Linked DNA regions of Bombyx mori. The protein of the gene in region 3 purifies or fractionates together with the protein of the main gene of each other region. This does not show direct contact. Links are inferred from orthologs where the notes say so. Each region holds a gene or a part of one and is shown on either strand. Other genes may lie near its edges. The genes, in order: Golgi SNAP receptor complex member 1, golgi SNAP receptor complex member 2 and BET1-like protein.

Evidence for each region.
Region 1: the proteins of BET1-like protein (region 3) and Golgi SNAP receptor complex member 1 purify together in Homo sapiens (affinity purification with mass spectrometry; 3 studies listed by BioGRID and IntAct, with this or other methods). This does not show direct contact. The link is inferred for Bombyx mori from reciprocal best matches to the Homo sapiens genes BET1 and GOSR1.
Region 2: the proteins of BET1-like protein (region 3) and golgi SNAP receptor complex member 2 purify together in Homo sapiens (affinity purification with mass spectrometry; 3 studies listed by BioGRID and IntAct, with this or other methods). This does not show direct contact. The link is inferred for Bombyx mori from reciprocal best matches to the Homo sapiens genes BET1 and GOSR2.

What each region holds. Positions count from the first base shown.
Region 1 is NC_085122.1:10,009,688-10,017,246, reverse strand, and holds part of Golgi SNAP receptor complex member 1, read left to right. Parts: intron 1-342; coding exon 343-518; intron 519-936; coding exon 937-1,026; intron 1,027-3,165; coding exon 3,166-3,314; intron 3,315-4,257; coding exon 4,258-4,374; intron 4,375-5,927; coding exon 5,928-6,048; 3' UTR 6,049-7,559. UniProt on the Homo sapiens protein: Involved in transport from the ER to the Golgi apparatus as well as in intra-Golgi transport. It belongs to a super-family of proteins called t-SNAREs or soluble NSF (N-ethylmaleimide-sensitive factor) attachment protein receptor.
Region 2 is NC_085121.1:9,512,188-9,520,546, forward strand, and holds the start of golgi SNAP receptor complex member 2, read right to left. Parts: upstream 5,357-8,359; 5' UTR 5,098-5,356; coding exon 4,964-5,097; intron 4,631-4,963; coding exon 4,525-4,630; intron 4,390-4,524; coding exon 4,209-4,389; intron 2,180-4,208; coding exon of another isoform or gene 2,175-2,179; exon of another isoform or gene 1,257-2,174; intron 1-1,256. Other genes in the region: neuronal membrane glycoprotein M6-b, read left to right, coding at 7,039-7,788. UniProt on the Homo sapiens protein: Involved in transport of proteins from the cis/medial-Golgi to the trans-Golgi network.
Region 3 is NC_085114.1:8,351,902-8,358,340, reverse strand, and holds BET1-like protein, read right to left. Parts: upstream 3,958-6,439; 5' UTR 3,675-3,957; coding exon 3,336-3,674; 3' UTR 3,243-3,335; downstream 1-3,242. UniProt on the Homo sapiens protein: Required for vesicular transport from the ER to the Golgi complex. Functions as a SNARE involved in the docking process of ER-derived vesicles with the cis-Golgi membrane.

The DNA.
Region 1 (7,559 bases), on a different chromosome or scaffold from region 3:
AAATTTTCATTTGTTTTTACAATTCAAAGAAATAATTAAAATAACATTTACGGTGTGGCGGGTAGCCATCATACAACGCAGGATATTTGACAGATGCCTGAATCTCGCTTACGACATTCTCAAGATAAACTTGCATATATACAAGTTCCGAACAACAAAATTCGTCGTCGTCGTCGTATATTCTCCAAAACAGTTTAATCTAAACTGAAACTAGATAACAAAAACTGTAAAGTATTCAAAATGCAGGAAATTATATAATGTAAATAAAAAATGTGTGGTTGAGCCGTAAAAATTATTTTAATTATGTATTGTGTATGACATGTATGCCCTTTTTTATTTCAGAGCTAAGAAGGCAAGCTCGGACCCTAGAAAATGACATAGATGTGAAACTTGTCGCATTTAGCAAACTGGGTATCAGTTCAGGTTCGGCCAATATTAATTCAGAGACTGCCCCTCTCATAAACAGTGATGATATGTTTGATACCATGTCTATGGAGCTGCAGCAGCTACTTAATCAGGTAATTGTTATATATAATCTAAACTAGCTAACTTGTCTTTACAAAAGATCCAAAGTGAGTCAAGTGTCAGATAGCTGTTTGTCTGATTCTTATATAAATCATAGAGGGCAATGGTTCGTCTTTAATAAAATATAATGCAGCAGTTGGCAATGAATACAAAAACTAAATTATCATCATCTATGAAATCATTGACCTCTTTGAAGGATCACTACAATGACATGTCTTGCACTGTTCACATCCAATAAACTTTTTACTAGCTTATTTATAGAAATATCTGTGAAAACATAGATAATACAGCTGTGAGCTTACAATGAGATATTTGTTACTATTAAGACATCTAAGTAACAAAACTAAACATCAAATTAATCAGATACCATCTTAATACTTGTTTATGGATAATATAATTCCAATTTCTCAGTTATCATCAATAAATGACAAAATGGCCGACATAGCCCCAAGTGGAGCAGCCACAATGCACACAATCAAACGGCACAGAGAAATACTAATGGTTTGTATGCATGTATTAATTAATATGACTTAATTGGTTTAAAATTAAATAAATTAATTAATTGGTTTAAATTTAATTAATTGGTTTGGTATCTTAATTGGAGACTTTCAATGTACCTTCTGTGACATTAGGATAAAAGTGGAACTAAAAACACTGTCAAATTTGCTTAACTTATCTCTATTAACAAATATGTATTATGAATGTAGAAGTTTGTATTTATATGTTTATTTGATTACTAAATGATACACCCATGTACGCAATATATAAAAAATAGGTTACTTTACTCTTGCTGATGGGAAGACCAGCTCGTTACCTGTTTGCTGTAAGTGGTTACTGGAGCCCATAGACATCTACAACGTAAATGCGCCACCCACCTTAAAACCATACAAAGCATAATGTGAATGACGTTAGTAGATAAGCCTGTCAGTCAAAACTCTTGACTGCTTTGTTGCAGAAATAGATAGAATTGTGCCTGGAGAATTCAAACCCCGGCAAAGTTGCATGTAATTTTGCCTATATGGTGTCAACCTGGAATAGGAGTCTACAGTATTCACCAGATAATGGAAAGCAGAGTTCTCAGCTTACTGATAGTAGGGGTACTGTAAACTCTCACGTACCATAGTTCTGCATTTTCAAACTTTTCAAACTCGTCGAATCTAGTGCAGCACGCCAATGTGTGATCCACTGTGTCATGGCGTCCTGACCGCCATTGCACGCTGCGAACATCGCAGTACGGCGATGTTTTCGCGGGTCAGGGCGCGGCACCAAACGGGAGCGCCGCAGAGTGCCTCAATAAGCCTCGCGTTGTAGTAGGCCTCTCGTTGTAGTGGGTCTCGCGTTGTAGTAGGCCTCGCGTTGTATGAGGTCCCACGTTGTATGAGGTCCCGCGTTGTGTAAGGTTTCGCGTTGTATGTGGTCCCGAGTTGTATGGGGTCCCGCGTTGTATGAGGTCCCGCGTTGTATGGGGTTCCGCGTTGTATTGGATCCCGCCTTATATGAGGCCTCGCGTTGTATGGGGTCCCGCGTTGTATGAGGTTCCGCTTTGTATGAAGTCCCGCGTTGTATGAGAGCTCGCGTTGTATGTGGTCCCGAGTTGTATGAGGTAACGCGTTGTATGGGGTCCCGCGTTGTAGGGAGTCCCGCGTTGTAGGGGGTCCAGCGTTGTACTAGGTCTCGCGTTGTATGAGGTCCCGCGTTGTAAGAGATCTCGCGTTGTATGAGATCTCGCGTTGTATGAGGTCCCGCGTTGTATGAGGTCTCGCGTTGTAGTAGGTCTCGCGTTGTATGAGGTCCCGCGTTGTATGAGGTCTCGCGTTGTAGTAGATCTCGCGTTGTATGAGGTCCCGCGTTGTATGAGGTCCCGCGTTGTATGAGGTTCCGCGTTGTATGAGGTCCCGCGTTATATGAGGCCTCGCGTTGTAGCAGGTCCCGCGTTGTATGAGGTTCCGCTTTGTATAAGGTCTCGCGTTGTAGTAGGCCTCGCGTTCTATGAGTTCCCGCGTTGTATGAGGTCCCAGGTTATAGAGGGCAACGCGTTATAGTAGGTCTCGCGTTGTATGAGGTCCCGCGTTGTATGAGGTCTCGCGTTGTAGTAGGTCTCGCGTTGTATGAGGTCCCGCGTTATATGAGGCCTCGCGTTGTAGTAGGTCCCGCGTTGTATGAGGTTCCGCTTTGTATAAGGTCTCGCGTTGTAGTAGGCCTCGCGTTCTATGAGTTCCCGCGTTGTATGAGGTCCCAGGTTATAGAGGGCAACGCGTTATAGTAGGCCTCGCGTTCTATGAGGTCTCGCGTTGTATGAGATCTCGCGTTGGGTTTTTTCAAAAAGTCTCGCGAGCCGGTTGTTGCCCATGTTCTAAAGTCTAAAATTTTTTTTATTATTGCCTTAGTAGGCAGAGAGCATACGGCCGACCTGATATGGTGAGTGGTTACCATCGCCCATGGACTTCAGTAATGCCAGGGGCAGAGTCAAGCCGCCGCCTACCGTAAGTTACAACGGCTGACCCACCCTTCAAATCGACGCATTACTGCTTCACGGCTGAAATACCTGGTGGGACCTGCCCGTGCGGACCCACAAGAGGTTCTGCCACCAGTAAAAACGTACGTGTGACTGAAACGTCGTATCAAACCATAATTTCGCAGGACTACCAGCAAGAGTACTCCCGCACGTCAGCCCGCGTGTCGGCGCGGCGCGAGCGCGAGGAGCTGCTTCGGGGCGGCTCCCCGACTCCGCCCGCCGCGGGACTCAGCAGACGCGACCAGTACGCGAAGGAAGCCAACCATTTGCACAGGTGTGATATACGGTTTTTCTTTTTTTGTATATTCTATGCCTTTGTTGTCTCTATATCGAGGGACTTTTTGGCGGTAACGCGAGGAGTGAAGTCGTTGTGATTTGTTTTATTTTGTCTATTTAGTGTTTCTTCGGGCTTAAATGTAAATTAATGGTGGTTTATTAACTGTTCAATATCTGTGAAAGTGCATAAAGCCAAGAAAGAGACAAAGCCGTTGTTCTCCGGTTCCTCCAAAAAGTGCACTGAAAAAATCTCAGTAAATGACCACCATTTTACTGAGATTATATTTCATTCCATATCATCTCATCTCATTTCATTTAATTTGACTTTGACATTCAATGACTGGGATGATTAATTTAAGAAATTAATCATCCCAGTCATTCGCTTCATTTTCTTCATTTCAGACTTCATTTCATTTCACTCCATATAATCATTTTTCATATTAATAAGAATATAAATTAAAATAAGACATGACTTAAAGGTCTTAGTTACCAGGTCTAAAATTCCTTAAAAAAATCTATATCGAGCAAGGATTAATAAGACACGTGTTTAGTTAATAAATTTAAATTCAAGCGCAAAAAACGATACCAGAAAACAATTCTAAGTGAAGATTAAAGTGCGTCATAGTGTTACTACACCAGTAGCGCAGTGAATATTACTGCGTATTACATATTAATGAGTAGTGTAACTATACTGACCGCTCAGAACTCATATCTCAAGGTGGGCGGCGGTATTTACGTTGTAGACGTTTATGGACTCCAGTAACCACTTAACACCAGGTGGACTGTGAGTTCGTCCACCCGTCTAAGCAATAAATAAATAAAAAGATGATGAATAGACATTCGGAACAGCTCTTGATTTTGATTCTTAGAACTGAACATTTAGTATTTGTCTTTCTTTTTTGTTTGGCCAGAGTATTAATTTGGTCGTTTTCCCATTTCAGTTCCCACATATTAGTCGATGAACAAATAAACATAGCGATGGAAGCTCGCGACCACCTCTCCTCGCAACGGCAAACCTTCAAACGGATGCAGACCAGGTTCAACGATATCGCCAACAGGTAAATAAATGTTAAAACATTTTTTTATTTTCAAACATAAAAGCTATAAGACAATTCAGGAAGCTAACTATGTTAGATAATTTCACACACACACACACGCACACACGCACGCACACACACGCACGCACGCACACACACACACGCACGCACGCACACACACACACGCACGCACGCACACACACACACACATTCTCTTATATATTCGTAAATACTAGCAGACCCGACAGACGTTATTCTGCACGCACAAATAAATGGAATGAATGAATGATGCATACACAAAAATTCATTCAAGTCGATCCAGCCGTTTAGTTGCAGTATATATAAATAACCTAGATACCGACTGCAACGTCATCTGCCGGGTTGAATTGTGAATCAACCATCCAAGGTGCCACATAAACGCATACAAAAAAAAATCATTCAAATCGGTCCAGCCGTTTAAGAGTTCAGTGACATACACACGTACAGTAGAATTATATATTTATTGATGAATTTCATATCAATTCGACCTATGGTTAAAAAAATAGAAATCACTGTCACCAGCGCCACCTATCCGTCACTAACGTAACTATATTCGGACTGGTCATATCGACTTATAAATATTGGGTGAGGTTTCATATCGATTAGAATGTTTTTCGAGTTTTAGGTGAACCTACACACACATGTACATACAGATTAAAGTTTTTTTAAGTTGTTGTGGTCTAACGGATAAGGGTCCGTTCCCATAGAAGACCATAGACATCAACAACGCGAACACCGCAACCCACCTTGATACATGAGTTCTAAGTCTCAGTATTTACATTACAACGGCTGCCCCACCCTTCAAACCGAAATGCCTTACTGCTTCACGGCAGAAATAGGCAGGGCGGTGGTACCTACCCGTGCGGACTCTCAAGACGTCCTCCCAAAAGTAATATAAAACTTGTTCAGTGTGTGTTAGTGGGAGTTTTTTAACGTTCTCGATAGCGTAAGAGTTAACTCAAATTTGTATGCAATTGGAACAGCGCCCCTAGCGGCAAACGTTCCAACTCCATACAAATTTGAGTTAACTTACATATAAACCTAGTGTTCATTTTACTCATGTCTACTATAATTCTTCAAATTATCGCCATGTATTAACTTTAACACAATTACGCACTTATTGGATCTTTCACTTCATCAACGAGGGTTAACTGGAAGAGAATGCCTGCATGGCGTTAAGTTCGCCTTTGTACAATATTTTTGTGCAATAAAGATTTTTTTATTCATTCATTCATTCAACTTTTACTCGATCGAGAACGTGAAAAAACTCGAACTGTTTAGTTCGAGTTTACACTGTATCTGTATCAGTGTGCTTAGTGCGAGTTTTGTAACGTTTTCGGTAGCGTAAAAGTTAGCTCATATTTGTATGGAATGGAATCGTTTGCGTACTTTTACCGCTAGGGGCGCTGTTCCAACTGCATACAAAACTGGGCAAACTTACGCGATCGAGAACGTTAAAAAACTCGCACTAAGCACACTGAACTGTTCAGTTCGAGTTTACACTGTATCTGTAATGATAATTCGATCGTCCCCAGATTCCCGATGTTGAACAGTCTGATGTTCCGTATAAACGCTAGGAAGCGTCGCGATTCCCTAATCGTGGGCGTGGTGGTAGCGGTCTGCACCTTCCTCTTGCTCATGTACGCCTTCCATTGAAACTGTGATCCGATAAAGACTGTAGTTAACTAGATTTTAAGGTATCGTATTATAGTGAACTAAGACGCCTCGATTTGACAACCATATTGAATACGATGTCCAGTCGTAGGTGTGGTGAAGCTTAAAGGCGGAAACACATTATTAAAACGCGACGTAACGCAACGTGTCGACACCCGATTTACACCGTGCACATTACCAACACGCGACCCCACGACATAGCAGCAATCTGTAGTGAAAACAGCTAACAGCAGTGGAAATGTATAGTTGTGTACTATGGATTTAATAAATAGCTCTCACAAAAGTTACCACAACTATATAGGCGTATACAATATCAATTTGTTTTTTTAAAGTAATAAATAATATTTTCAATAAAACTTACTGTTTATATTCATTTGCTCGGCAATTTATTCCCATGCATTATTTCTCGTTGTATGATCCCTGTATATAGCTCATGCATCAAATTCATGCCATATAAAACAGGATATCGTTTTACCAACGCTTAAAAGGAGACTCCAATCAATGTATTGTTTTGACTCGTATTTGAAAATAAAGAATTTTTGTATTTTTTTTGTATTTGTACCAACTCAATTAACTGGACGTCGGTCATTTCAAATGCTAAACGCTAAATAAATGCAAACAATAATATTAAATTGGCATAAATTCTGTTTGACAGTGTGAAGAATAGGGATGGGCTCAAAGAATGGTTATATGCTCTGTGACAGATCTCGAACGACTGACGCGTGTCTTTGGGTGTTGTCTAGAAACATACTACACTCTACCCGTCGGATGGCGTGTTTAACCCCAAAATGGGCAACAAATCACTGCGATACTTTAAGACAAAAAAAAATTGTGTATGGAAACTATCGATATCTTGTAGCGGATACCCCTAAACTTATATGTTGTTAAAGTGGCTTAACTTTTTAATTATTATAAGACTAAATACAAAAAATCAAAAATCATACAAGCCTTATTTGTTATTAAAATTGATTAAATTTTATCAATTTGTGGTTTCTGAAAATCTACAAAATCCTTCATTAAAAATAAAATATAGGATAGGTAAATGTGTTACTGCCATACAGGAGCAATGAGAAACTAATGGAAGCGAAGCCATCTAGTGGCCGACGCCCGTAAACATTTTCGTTGAGTGCTTGAGTTGCTTATCTATAGCCAATTTATCTGTATTATAAACACATCGATCTGGCACATTTGAATCGGGTGTTATCTGCCGCATGGCGTCGCGTCGGATGTTTATAGTGTGAATCTGGTCTATAAAAAACAATACATTTGATTCGACTCAACACGCATCGCGGTTTCATCAGGTGGCGTCGCGTTTTGATAATGTGTTTCCGCCTTAATAATGACGTACATTAATCGATTCTTTATTTATTATATCCAATATTATATGTCGATATTTAAACTAAACTTTTCCTATTACAGCAAACTAGGTATATCGTGAGGCTGTTTGGTTTAAGCTACATTTTTGCAACTTTAAATTTAAGCCGTTTAAAGTT
Region 2 (8,359 bases), on a different chromosome or scaffold from region 3:
GGAAGCTACAAAACATGTTACATAGCGTGCAGAACAAAAATAATAGTAACTAGCCGACCCGGCAGACTTCGTAGTGCCTCAATCAATAAATAAAAGATCTAAACTTTTGTATAAAAGGAATCCGTCCGACGGGGGACACATCAAAGGGAAAACAAAATTGTTATTTTTATTTAATTCCGAGCATTTTCATATTTATCTACCTTTTAAACCTTCTCTGGACTTCATAAATAATTCAAGACCAAAATTAGCCAAATCGGTTCAGCCGTTCTCGAGTTTTAGCGAGACTAACGAACAGTAATTCGCTTTATATATATATATATATATTTAAACGATCATGATATATTTGTGGTGGTGTGTGTATGTTGTCTCAGGACTTGCTAGCGCCACGCCGCCTGTCATTAATAGAACAGAACCGGTCATCGTTCTCGTCAAACCCGTCGCCTGCGACGAAAGACTCGGCGAGTAAACTAACCCACAGACACAGCCCACTGAGTTTCTCGCCGGATCTTCTCAGTGGGTCGCGTTTCCAATCCGGTGGTAGATGCAATGAACGATATCTTGCCCTAACATAAACAATATTCAATTTCTAAACTAGATCATAATTAATAGCTGGACTTAAACCACATTTTATGATATTAAGAGTTCATAGGCGTAGTGATGAAAAACCAATTGGGTATTGTAAGAGACAAGTTGGATAAAAATATTATTGGTTTTTACATAAACAAATGTTCACGATCGACTTCCATGGTGAAGGAATAATATCGTGTAATAAAAATCAAACCCGCAAAATTATAATTTAATTTGCGTAATTACTGGTGGTAGGACCTCTTGTGAGTCCGCGCGGGTAGGTACCACCACCCTGCCTATTTCTGCTGTGAAGCAGTAATGCGTTTCGATTTGAAGGGTGGGGCAGCCGTTGTAACTATACTTGAGACCTTAGAACTTATATCTCATGGCGCATTTACGTTGTAAATGTCCATAGGCTCCAGTAACCACTTAACACCAGGTGGGCGGTGAGCTCGTCCACCCAACTAAGCAATAAATAAAAAAGCATGCAACTTGGTTTTCTGGTTCAAATTCTTTTATAACTAGGTAGACGTCACTTTACCGGATCTTTTCTATACACATAGAAGTTCAAAGTAAGTTATTCAATAAAGATAAAAACTCGGAATTCAATGAACAGATATAAAGAAGTCGTTTTTGCACCGCTTCAACCTTGCGGTGTTGTAAATGTCCGCGGTGTGCGTATATTTTTTGGCGACAATTATTTAATTGTAATTTAATATTATATGTAGTAAGTCCGGACTGGTAGGTGCCTCTCTGCTGCTCATTTCTATGAAGCAGTCGTGTGCCTCAGTTTGTACCTTTATAACTGTACAATTGACACCGTTTCACTATCGCCTACTGGTTCACATTATAAGTTTGTAAAATAAAAAATAAATAGTGCAATCAATATTTAAATAAGGTAGTAAAAGATTTTAACGAACACCATTATACGTTGACCATAAATTCCGAGTAGTGTTCCATTGCGTACTAAACAAAGGACCGAACCCCGAATCCCGTTTTTTTATTATTATTTTAGAACCGAGTCTTTTTGTCATCATCGTTTCAGTAATAACCGGCATGCGCGGCACAACAAAATCCTTCGTTTTCCATGGTCCACCGTATTTTTATTAGCTATTATCTCAATTTCATTTATTTAATTTTTCTAAATTAATGAATAATCATCCAGTGTAAATGTTTTAAATTGTTATTATCGTTAACTTCCCATGCGCAGGAAGAAGTCAAGGCCAAAATAATCAACACAATAAATTGTAACCGAAAAAAATGTATATTTTGTGACTACGTTATTTTATAAATATACTTGTTTGTTATGTTTAAATGAGTATCGGCATCAGAAACAATGGGACCAGTCGCATTAACGCGGTTTAATTAACAGTAATAATTATCCCTGCTCGGAGTTCAAGTGAATTAGACAACTCATGGCGTAGACTTCAGTGTATCTAATCTAGGTTACTTGGTAGTACATTTACCGGTTATTAATTATCTTGTTTATTTGTTGCCTTGAGGTGATCATGCGTGTTCACTAGGTCGGACGGGTTAGTCTTGTTTTACAATCGAAGTGACGGAAATATACGTCTTTCTACACTAACGTCAACAGACCCAAAACCAAAATGTGGTAAGTACCTACCTAGAATATAATTTACACTGTATTTGTAAACTGATAATTTCAAACGAATTTTATTCTTGAGTATTCCGAACGCGAATAAAATTTATTAGTTTTATTATTATTATTCACTTTGTAATTTTGTATACGTTGTGCATTTAATCTGAATATTTTATTAAGATTGCATAAAATGTTTTCACACTATACAAGTGAACGCAGCGACACTCCGTGTTCAACTTGCAAAATACATGACGTCATCAGGGGTCATAGTCTAAGTCGCGCTTGTTATTAGAACGTTGGAGGGGCAAGGGTTACTAATCAGGTTCTTTAATTTAATTTGAGAAGAAAGAAGACTTTATTTTTATTTTTAAACAAAATTTTGGTTTCTGGTATATCATCAGCTTACGAATTCAAAATAACTATTTAATTACAAACCCAGCTCAAATAAGTTTGTTTTTAAATAAAAAAATTCAGGCTTCATAAATTTCTTTGTCTAAGCCTTTAAAAAAAAAAACTAAAAATCAAATCCAACTAAAAAATAGAAAATAAATTTTAGTAAATTTGAGTAGTGTAAGAATATATGTTTTTATTGTATAAAAAGCGTGGGGTGCATGGTATCAGTAGTTATAAACATTTTATGAACAGATATGAGTAAAGGGTTATTTTGATAATATCCTGAAAAACATCCCACGCTTTTTTACAATAAAATCATTTTTTCTTACACTATTTTTAATTCAAATTTATTAAAATTTAATTCCTATTTTTAGTTGGATTTTCTATAAAAGCATATTTTGTTAGTTTTGTTAAACTGTTATTTATTTTCATTTATAAATGTGATAAAGATATATCATCTATGGGATACCGATTCTGTGTCAATTTATAAAACTCTGATGGTCTTGTTCATACATTTTAGAGCCCCCAGTGCATTCCCTGAGCATAGCATTAATTACCTCATCTCTATAGTTGATATTTTCAAACAACTACACCCATGCGCAAAGAATATTAATTAATTGTCATAATCAGCATTGTGAAAGTTATGGTTATATAGAATAGGTACAAAATTATTTATTAATATATATGTACTTAAATTAACAAAAGCATTACCAGGTTGACCCTACATTATCTATCAGTTCTAGATCATACACACAAGATTTATTGAAATCAGTACCGACAAAGACATAAAGATGGTTAGTTGGCTTTTTTTATTTTTATTTATTGCTTAGATTGGTGGATGAGCTCACAGCCCACCTAGTGTTAAGTGGTTACTGGAGTCCATAGACATCTACAACGTAAATGCGCCACCCACCTCGAGATATAAGTTCTAAGGTCTCAGTATAGTTACAACGGCTGCCGCACCCTTCGAACCGAAACGCATTACTGATTCACGGCGGAAATAGGCGGGGTGGTGGTACCTACCCGTACGGACTCCCAAGAGGTCCTACCATCAGTGATTACGCAAATTATAATTTGGCGGGTTTGATTTTTATTACACGATGTTATTCCTTCACCGTGGAAGTCAATCGTGAACATTAAAATTTGTTGAGTACGTATTTCATTAGAAAAATTGGTACCCGCCTGCGGGATTCGAACACCGGTGCATCGCTACATACGAATGCACCGGACGTCTTATCCTCTAGGCCACGACAACTTCTAAAACAACATAAATTTGGTGCAACATAAATTTGGTGCAACATAAATTTGCCTTAGAAATTTACAAATTTAGAATAACAATTTTCTATTGCACTTGAAAGTGTTTGACTGATTTCTAGTTGACATGGTCATTGTTCTGCCAGCTATATGTATCTGCTTAAATTTGATAGCGATGAGCCATGGCCATAAGCTGCTTACCCAGATATATGAAAACATTGCGAATCGAGATAAATTAAAATTATGAAATCAAAGCTAAACTTACTATTTTAAATAAAATTTACATTATTTGACTTTAAAAAAGAATAAACTACAAGTGAAAATATAGTTCTTATGGAACTCCAACTACAATTAGTTGTGATAAGTCAAAATTACAAATTCCAATTGATCGTACCTGTATGCAACATATCATCGACATGTCTATGTGAATTCTGCAAAGACGCTTGCTCTTGAGCTAAGTAGTCTACATTTATTTCTGTGTGATCATGTCCAAAACGCCGGTTCAAAAGTTGTTCCCTTTCAGCTAATTCTTGTTCCCGTTTTTGTCTTTTGTTTTGGGCATTTATAAGAGAAGCCTGTGGAGTGATATGTTTTCTTGTTTTAGCAAAAATCTGTCTCTGTCAATTGTCAGAAGTCTGTGAACAATCACATTGTCAGCCCAAGCTACATACATACACATTGGCTAATATACACACAGTACTTTTTTTTACCTGTATGTGTTTGTTATCATACTTCAGCTGGTCCACTCTCATTTTAGCCATAGACCTTTGATTTATTGGTGTTTTAAAAACATAAATATCTAGTTTTTCACAGTTCCTGGAGAATACAAATAAAATTTAAGTTTGGTTTGATCTTATTATATGTATTTTATTAACATTTAAATCTAGTTTGTCTAATAGTAAAATAATAATATCATTATAAAATATGTACAAATTGATGTAAATATGTATATTTTTAATGTACGATTTAAATTATCTTATAAATTTTACAGTTAAGCAGAAATGCCATTACGTTAAGTGGTTCCCAAGCCAGTTAGCTTGTAAATTATTAAATATGAAACAGAGAATTTAATGATCATAAGTTTTACTATTAGCAGTTTACAGTACATTTCAGATAAGAATAAAATACAAGCAAATTAATGTTACTTACGCATTGACTGTGTTTATCTTTGATTGAATTGCATTTTCTATTTGTTGGTGATTGGCTGGATCTCTCTCTAATTTATTAAAAAGATCTGTAGTTTCTTGTAGCAATTGATTTGTCTGATGGTATAATGTTTCCATATTGGTAATGTATTTTTTTAAATAGGATTTCAAATAATTTCAGTGGTCATTTATATTAAATTATTCATAATCACGTAAAATGTTTTCTTAAAGTTTTATATTATCGTATCAACGATAATAAATATTTATACTGTTTAAGTTAGGTAGATTGTGAACCTTTTCGAAGGGCAGCATTTGACGTGATCAAATCGTGACGACACTGACACGTCTGACACATGATGTGTCACACACATGACCAGCGTTGCCAACTCGAAATTCGTCAAGGTGGGAGATAGGTTTCTACAAGCTGGAAGTTTCCAACAAACCCTACTATGAAAAGTTGGTAGATCTACCACCCATACTTTTCAAGTCTTTTAGAGACCCTCCAATAAGAATCTGGCATCCTTAATTTACTTTTCGATTGGATAAGACATATTTGAACTATTTTTATTAGAAATCCAATGATAAAACAGAATTACAGGCCACTAATATTCAAAATATTAATAGAAAATAGTGATAATTGAAAAGAATAATAAAAAATGTGTGCGTGTACTAGTGTACACACGTAAGAAGTGAAACTTATTTATGGCCTTATTTTTCGAAAAATGATCTACATGCAACTTTCTAGAAATTGGTTAAATAAAGTTAAATTAGATAAAGTTTAAACAAAAGGATTTTATTATCATAGACATGAATACAAAAAAGATGGCGCGTAACGGAAAAATGTGACGCGTAACCGAAAAACGTGACGGTAAATTTTTTTCCAACGCCGATAAGGAAGTTTCACTTCAATAATAAAAAAAATGTTTCATTATTATTTTCATGGAGGTTTGATTTGAACTTTTTGAAAACTTCAAAAGTTGGTAGATTTTTGCTACAAAGTGGTAGGTTTGATTACGACACTAAAAGTTGGTAGAGTTGGCAGCACTGCATGTCACACATCACAAATTTCATTATACAATTCTTCGCTTTGTTCGTCCATTATTTAGACACAGAAAATGCAGCCCATACTGCCAAATATTTTATAACATAAGTCGAAGTCATGACTTTTGTATGCGATGTGAATGATCTTTGGACATTAAAACAAATTCAAAATCAGAACGGAATAATATGAAATTAATTAGGTAAGGTAAAGTAACATTGTCGGTCTTGGAAAAAATGATGAGGGTGAATGAACGTATTAAAAATCCAAGAAGCCACATCAAGCGATTTGGTTTGATTTTCCCAGCTTGTGCAGCTTATAGATGCTAGTGATTAATAAGGGCTTATATTTAAACCTTACCTTACATTTAAACCTTGAAAAAGAAACACTGAATATCAAAATAGTTATCTTCTATAATTAGACAAGTAAATAGAACATACTCTGCTTATAGGTAATTTTTATAAAAGCCGAGTAGATCTGAGAAACAAAAATGATAATTATGATGTGGTTTTCAATAAAAAGATGCGATGCGATGCGATTGCGATTTAAAGACTAAATAAAATAGATCAGAATTTATAGAATATATTAAATTAAATGAAACGAGATGAGGTATCATTAAATATTCTCAGTGAAATGACGGTTATTTATTGACACATTTTCAATGGACTTTTTAGAAGATCCCGACAAGCTACATGGGAAAAACTGCGGCTTGATTCATTTCCCTAATTAGTCTATTTTTACAGATGCTAAACAGTTAATAAGCCGTCGTTATTACACTAATTATGAAAAATAAAATAATTCTCATATTGCCAGAAAATTTCAGCAATTTTTATTTATTTTGTTCTGTTAATATGTGTACACTCAACTTTTGTTCGGTCGTTGGTTTGTTCGCCTTCGTCATCTTGACCATAGACAATAAGAATCTTGAATCTTGACATCAGTGAACTCAAAAACATTAAATAGTTTTTTGTTCAGTGTTTAATTGTGTATCTTCGGACCAAAAGTTTTGATTCTAAAAGTAAATAAGAATTAACAAAATAATGGGGGACGCGTGTCAAGCTTGTCTAACACGGGTGCCACATGCAACCCTTATCGCTACAATAATGTGTTGTCTAGGCGTGGGTGTGTTTTGTGGGACCATGTACCGTGGATCTGCACTCTCCATCCTTATGTTCGACGAAGTATTCCACTTTCGATTGATTTGGATTGAAGCCCTGCAGATGATATTCATTGTGGGAAGTGCATGCATGGCAGCACTAGGATTTATGTTACTTTGTCTAGGCTGTTTGACTACAGGTGCAACTCGCCAGAAAGTTTATCGGGCGTGGAGAGCTCGGGTCGGTGGGAGAATATCGTGTGCCGTTTTTATGATCATAACATATATTTTGACCTTTGTTTGGATAGTGTTGCTAGGATTTCTAGTAATAACAACATTTTTGTTCACAATATTCTGGAAATTATGTTCAAAACCAGAAAATATTGTATCATCAACTTGTATAGATTTCACTCAATTCGACTTCATGTTTCCTTCAACGGTGAAGCAAGAAGACATGAAAATATGCGAACCACACAAAATAAAACTTTTTTGCAAAGATTACGTTGAAAAAGCAGAATTTATGTTTATCCTTGCAATGGTGTCATGTATCTTAGTCATATTGAGTTTAGTGCATTATTTGATGTGCTTATCAGCTAATTATGCACATATCCGTGATCATGAAAAGTTCCAGGAACTTCAAGAGCTACAGTACTTGACCAACCCAGACTTGCATGCCTCTAAAGACCGTTTCTAGTATATGGCCCGCGCACCATTGCTGCGCTCACTAGAAGCTACCACAAAAATGTGACACGGTTAAACAGAACCCAACAATTAAATTCAACAAGTGTTCATTATTCAGTGAACAAAAGACTGACTATCAGTGAATTATGTGTAGAAAATAAGAGAAAGAAAAATGTAAACATATCACGGCTGATAAATATAAAAAATAATAGTTTTAGTTTTGTATTTTGTTACTTCTAACATTCCTTTGGTTGTTTAATTGAATTTTTATGAATTTTTATGATTTTCCATTCTATTATTGTTGTTTGTATGGCATAAGACATAAAATATGTGTACTTAATGTCTATATTATCTAATATAGTTTAAATTGAGTATATTGCATTTTATCATAGAACTTAGTACAAATATTACTAGCTACATTACTTAGTACAATTTTTATGGGCTCCGGTAACCAGTTAACACCAGGTGGGCTGTGAGCTCGTCCAACCACCTAAGCAATAAAAAAACAAATAACAGTATATTGAATGGAATGTATTATTATTTAAGATGATCAAAATTGTCAATTCAACTTTATAGTCTACTAT
Region 3 (6,439 bases):
GGCAAGTGAAAGAAATTGAAAATGTGCAAAATTGTGTGTTTTTGTATGAAACATGGCTTAATGCTAACCATACTGTAAGTCGTTTTTGGACCGATATCTATGCAAAATCTACGTCCACAGTTCCTGTTGGGAAAGGATCGCGACTTATAATTTGTCACGCCGGAACCATCAACGGGTTTGTCGGAGGTTCTCTCATGGCGTTTGCGTCAAAAACCACTGGAGACTATCATGAAGAAATGAACGGGGAAAGTGTACTGAATGATTTATTTCAATTTTGTGTAGCCTCCCTGTACCATCTATTATAATAATGGATAACGTCCCATATCACTCGATGTAAATTGACAAGCCACCTGCCCAATCCCAAAAGAAAGCTGACATCATCGCATGGCTTCATAAAAATGGCGCAGATGCAAACGTAGATATGTTAAAAGCGAATTACTTAGTACGTCTTTTAAAAGAAAGCAAACCAACCAAGATACGATACGTCATTGACGAAATAGCGTTAGAACATGGGCACAGAGTTATATGGTTACCACCTAACCATTGTGAATATAATGCAATTGAGTTGGTGTGGGCTCAAATTAAGGGATATGCTGCAAGACGCAATACAAAATCCCTATTGACCCCAACAAAAATGCTAAAAATATTAGACGAAGCTTGTAAGCATGTGACTAAAGGAGACTGGGAAAAGGTTGTGAATAGAACTGTTAAATTAATAAGGGAAGATTATGAATAATATTGTAGAAAACGAACTTCTAATTAATCCAAGTGATGACAATGTAAATAGTAGTAGGAACGAATCTGATTAAATTTAGCCTTTCGTGACACCTAACCATATAAAGTATGTATATTCATTTTAATTCCAATATTCAGATCGTTCAAATATATTAAGTAAGCATTTATATTTTTGTTTTATTAAACCTTTTTAATCAGGTACTACTTGCAATAAAAACTTATAGATTTCATTATATTTTTTTCGGGAATAAATTGTCATTTCACATCACTATTGTAATATGTCAAAACGACCATCATAGCGTGCCGATAGTGTAAGTAGTAATTCTATAATCTGTGCTGTTACACCGGTCACTCACATGCGCACGAATACGCAAACCCGCAAGTGTAGGACGACATTTGCAAATGACTATGCAAAGTTTTCGCTGCATTCGTGGTTTTCCAAGTTGTGTCGGTTTTTTAACAGACATCAAAGCGCGCGAACCTCTAACCTTCGCGTAGTCTCCCACACATTCGCTTGCCCAGTTGCGCCGACAATTGCAAAGGTAACGGACGTATCGCCATTTTCATAGTTCGTGACGTCTACTGTGTAGCGTATCTTCATCAAAAGAAATCCCATAAAAACAGCATGGCTGTTAATGATGTCTGGGAAAGAATTAAAAACTCTTTTTCTCTTCAATGTTCTATTGACGAATTAAAAAGGAGGAGAAATTCGTAAGACATTCGTAAACAAGTGTAGGAGGAAGCGCAAACGGGTTCGCGCGCTTTGATGTCTGTTAAAAAACCGACACAGCTTGGAAAATCACGAATGCAGCGAAAACTTTGCATAATCATTCGCAAATGTCGTCCTACACCTGCGGGTTTGCGTATTCGTGCGCATGTGAGTGACCGGTGTAATACTAACGGCTCAGTGACTTTTTTGGCGGGAACGCGAGGAGTGAAGTTGTGTGATTTGTTTTTATTTTGTCTATTTAGTGTTTCGCCAGCTTTAAATGTGTAATAACGGTGGTTTATTAACTGTTTAATATCTGTGAAAGTGCACAAATGTGGGAAAATGAAACAAAGCCGCTGGACGTAACTTCTCGGGATCCCCCAAAAAGTCCACTGAGACAGTCTTAGTAAATAACCATCATTTTACTGAGATTATATTTCATCCATATCATCTCGTTCGTCTCATCTCATTTCATTTCATTTTATGCCATGTTTAATAATATTAATCAACTTCATTACATTTCACTTCATATTATCATGTGCAGAGTTAATTACTACATTAATCAAATTACTTTCTCAACATCAATTATCTATACCGTACCACGCTGCTAATTTCATTCAAACTTACACTAATATTAATAATGGTTAACACGGACAGTTTCCTTCGTTTTTTATTATTCATAAACTGTAAATAATTAAAACGGCGAATTATAAAAATATTATTATTTGACACTGGCTAATACACAAAACGTGCCAGAACCAAAAAAAAACTAATAAATTAATGTGTGAACTAAATAGAAAGAGATGTGAGATACATAATACATATTACTTAGTGAGAAAAGATGACCTAAGTATTTGAAATAGGCACTAAAATTTATAAATAAACATAAATGAAAATACTTTTTACTTGCTTATTTCTTGTTATTTTTGCCAAATTTTTAGATAGCGCATTTTGATGTTTATATTAGCTACTTCAGAAATTGAATGTATTTGCTATGGAAGGTAACAAAATACAATTCTACTTTGAAGAAACAAGTTTAAACAGAATAAATCTTTTTAAAGAAGCTTTATCCAGTGCAGAAAACGGAAGAGTTCTTTATATTCTCCATGAAGAATTAAGTCAGCTACCCACATTATCACAAGATTTAAATTCAGTGAATAGACATTTCATGAAAATGATTAGTTTTCTTTATGTAGAAACTATTGAAGCACTTATAGACAGTGTTTCAACACTACCAGATTGGCAGAATGTGCCCTCAACAATTATTTTAGATGACTTAAGCAAGTTCTTCAGTAGAAACAACCAACAAAACATTTATGGGATTATTGCTCTGTTGATGGACAGTGTACGGATCTGTTCTGTTTCACTCGGAAAGCCATGTAATTTATTTGTTGCTGTAAGTAAAGAAGTTGTAGGCGATGATTTTTGTAAAATCTTAAAAGAATTATACTTTTGATTGAAGTTTAAAAACTAGTTAGCATAATTATTATAGGGAATACTTACTAATGATCACATATGAGCATCATTTTAAGTATTATACTTATTTGTTGCATAAGTAGGTGAGTGAGTTAAGTGGATACCTAAGCCTATAGATAACAATCAAAACTTAAATACCGCTGACTATCTTTAGAGCTAAGGTTAAAGGCTCAATTGTATTTTATTATGGCTGTCCTTCAAACAACATATGGTTACTTAGTGAAGGAAAAAATTAAATGTTGACACCTACCTGTGCAAGCTAGTACTTATCATTGAAACATATTGTAAAAGTTGTGGAATAAGTGAAATAAAATAAACATTTAATTTATACATATGTTTTATTTACATTTCAACATATACAAAATTTATTTCGAAACACTTATAATACACAGGAGTGATGGATGGGTAATGAAAATCATCTAAATTTTAAAATAATATACAACAAAAAGAACACAAAAATGGAGAAGAGGAATAGATAGAAAATATAATAGTTGTGGTTCCCTTTGCCAAGCCTTAAAACTCTTCCCATGGTTTTTCCAAGGAAACCTGAGCTTCTGTCAACATCATCATCTAATCCACGCAAAAGTTTTTCTTGGTCCCTTACTTCATTGCCTAACTCAATGGAAATGTATTTAAGTGAAGATATCTTGCCACTGAGTTCTTCAGCCATTCGTTCATTTTCATTTTCGATAGTATCTTCCGTAGCTACTCTGGGCACTGGCTGATAGTGGTAGCCTTCGCGGGCTCGCCTCATATTCGTTCGGCCCGCCGTTTTGATTAGCAGCAAGACACAAGAGTGATGATGATAATCAGGTCTTGGTTAATTACGTCCTTCGTTAGACGTTTATTTAATTTTGGATCTACTTGCCGCCTATTTACTATAAAATATTGTTTGTTTTTGTCAATTTGTAATAGGATATGAAAAAAAAACACTAATTTAATAATCTGGACACATTGAAAACATACATGGTTTACAGTAAGTATATAATTTGCTTTTATGTAGTTGTGTTAGATGTGATAGTCTCCTACGTGTTTATCTGACTCAAATGTCAACTGTCAATAGTAGTAGTAGCTCCATTTATCCAACTGAAAAGACGAAGGTCTCCTAATATTATGCATATTTCGTTTTATGACAAATTTAATGGACCGCATTGAAATAATGTTGATTAATTTGAAATTTTAATCATTTGAGATGAAATTAAATGAAACTTGATAATGCGGGTCTCAGTAAATGGTGTTTATTTACTTAAACTTTCTCAGTGAACGTTTTGAAAGAACTCGAGAAGCTACGTCCAGTGGCTTTGTTTTATTTTCCCACAATGTGCACTTACACAGATACTAAACAGTTAATAAAGCACCGCTATTATAAATTAACAAAATAGAACAATTCACACAACTTCGCTCCTCGCGTTCCCGTCAGAGTTCGACGTGCGAACTAGCTCATAGACACAACTCACTGGGTTTCTCACCGGGTCTTTTCAGTGGTTTACAATTCCGATCCGGTGGTAGATTCTGCGAAACACTACTATTGCTAGGGCCAGTGCTAGCAAACTCTCAGATTGAATGACCTCACCTACCAGTCGGTGATTAGCTGGAATAGACCCTTAGGGCTACCAGCGATTAGGTAGAGAAAAAAGTCTTCAACGCTCATCTTTCAGTCTACCAGTCACATAGTAGAACTGAAATCCTACGAGCTGATGAAGGAAAATACTTAGGGCTATCCCGCAATAGGCGAAACACAGAGAATTCTGTGTTACAGTACCGTGACACGTAACTAACGATGAGCACGACCACAAAATTAAGGAACAAGTGGAAGCATATATAAAAACAAAATATTGCAATTCCTAATACTCACGAGACAATCAGCTTCAGAACTAAAAAATAAATAAATAAACCTACTAATATTGATTTTTTTTATTGCTTAGATGGGTGGACGAGCTCACAGCCCACCTGGTCTTGTGGTTACTGGAGTCCATAGACATCTACAACGTAAATGCACCATCCACCTTGGTTTCACTGCAAAAATAGGCAGGGTGGTGGTACCTACCCGTGCGGACTGGACACATACTGCCCAATTTCCCAAATTAATCGTGGGTTTTCACAATTATTATAGATAAATTAAAAAAATTATATTTAGAAAGTAGATTATGCAGATAAATATTTCTTGTTTACATCGCAACGTTGAGGCACTTTGATTTAAAAAATGTCGTGATTCGTACTTTATTTAAATTACAATTTTCAACGTTGATAATAATATCAGAAGGCCCTTTAAAAAAAAAACATGGAAACTGGTTTTTCGAACAGTTTAATTAAGCATTGGCGCACTCATATCGCATGAAAAGTTTTTAATCTGTTCAATCAAGAAAATGTATTTCCGAAAATGCTTTCAAAGTAATTAAACGATAATTCAACCTGCAAACTTTTTCTTATCCCTTTTAAGCCGCCGTTAATTAGCTATTCCCGGGCCCTACAACGTCTTTTTAACATTTTCTTTTGATTTTGCACGCGCATGAACTTCATGCTTTTTCGACTTGGTGCTCGACTTCCCATCTGCCGCTCAGAATTCGTGCGCTTGGAAGTTGGAACGGGTTTACATAATATACCTTCTCTTGTGAACTTTTAATAAGTCGCTGAACGCAGAACGCAAAATAATTAATAATTTAATAAAACATGCTACATACATACTCAATTATTTTATTTTTCAATAATTATTATTGTACAAAGTTTTAACAGTCAGTAACTATCGAAGAATAAAGCTTTCTTATTACTACTTACATAAAAATTTAATGTGCCTCGAGGGGAATGTATTGCACATAGCAGTTGATTTCAGAACATAATATAGAAAAACTGATTGAACAAAAATTATAAATCTACATATACATAAGATTGTTGTTAATATTTTCTACTGAATTAAGTATCTAATTAATTTCAGTTTGTTTTTATTCACGCAGATATAAAATTAAAAAAAAACATTATTCAATGAATGCCTAGCTTTTTGCTGCTAAATAATAGTAGTCATATAATCCTTGAAACAAACTCAAATGATGACAGTAGCATATGAATAATATTATGTGATGAGTAGTCCATCAAGAATATGTATAATTAAATAAGATAGGCGATTAGCATTTAGAATATGTTAGAGAACCATCCCAGCTTCGCTGCAAAGTACTTATTATGTCGTAAACTATCATTCTGAGGGAGAAAAATCAAAACAGTTTGACGATCGACTACCACGTACCTAATCGTTACCACTGCGACTAACGCATCAGCTTTAGAGCCGGTATTCCTAAAACATACTTGGAGGAAGGTAGTTTAGGCAAGAAGACGAACATATTTAAAAAGTCAATCTACCCTCTGTATATGAAAACTAGATAAGTCTGTTTTTAAATTTCACGAGGTGACTTAATTAACGTTTTATCTTCTGTCGCGACAATGTTGTTTCTCGGATAGTGAAAAAACACACGTTTTCCCTTTAAAAATGTTTACGAAACCGAATGCGACTTTTTATAATACCCGAAA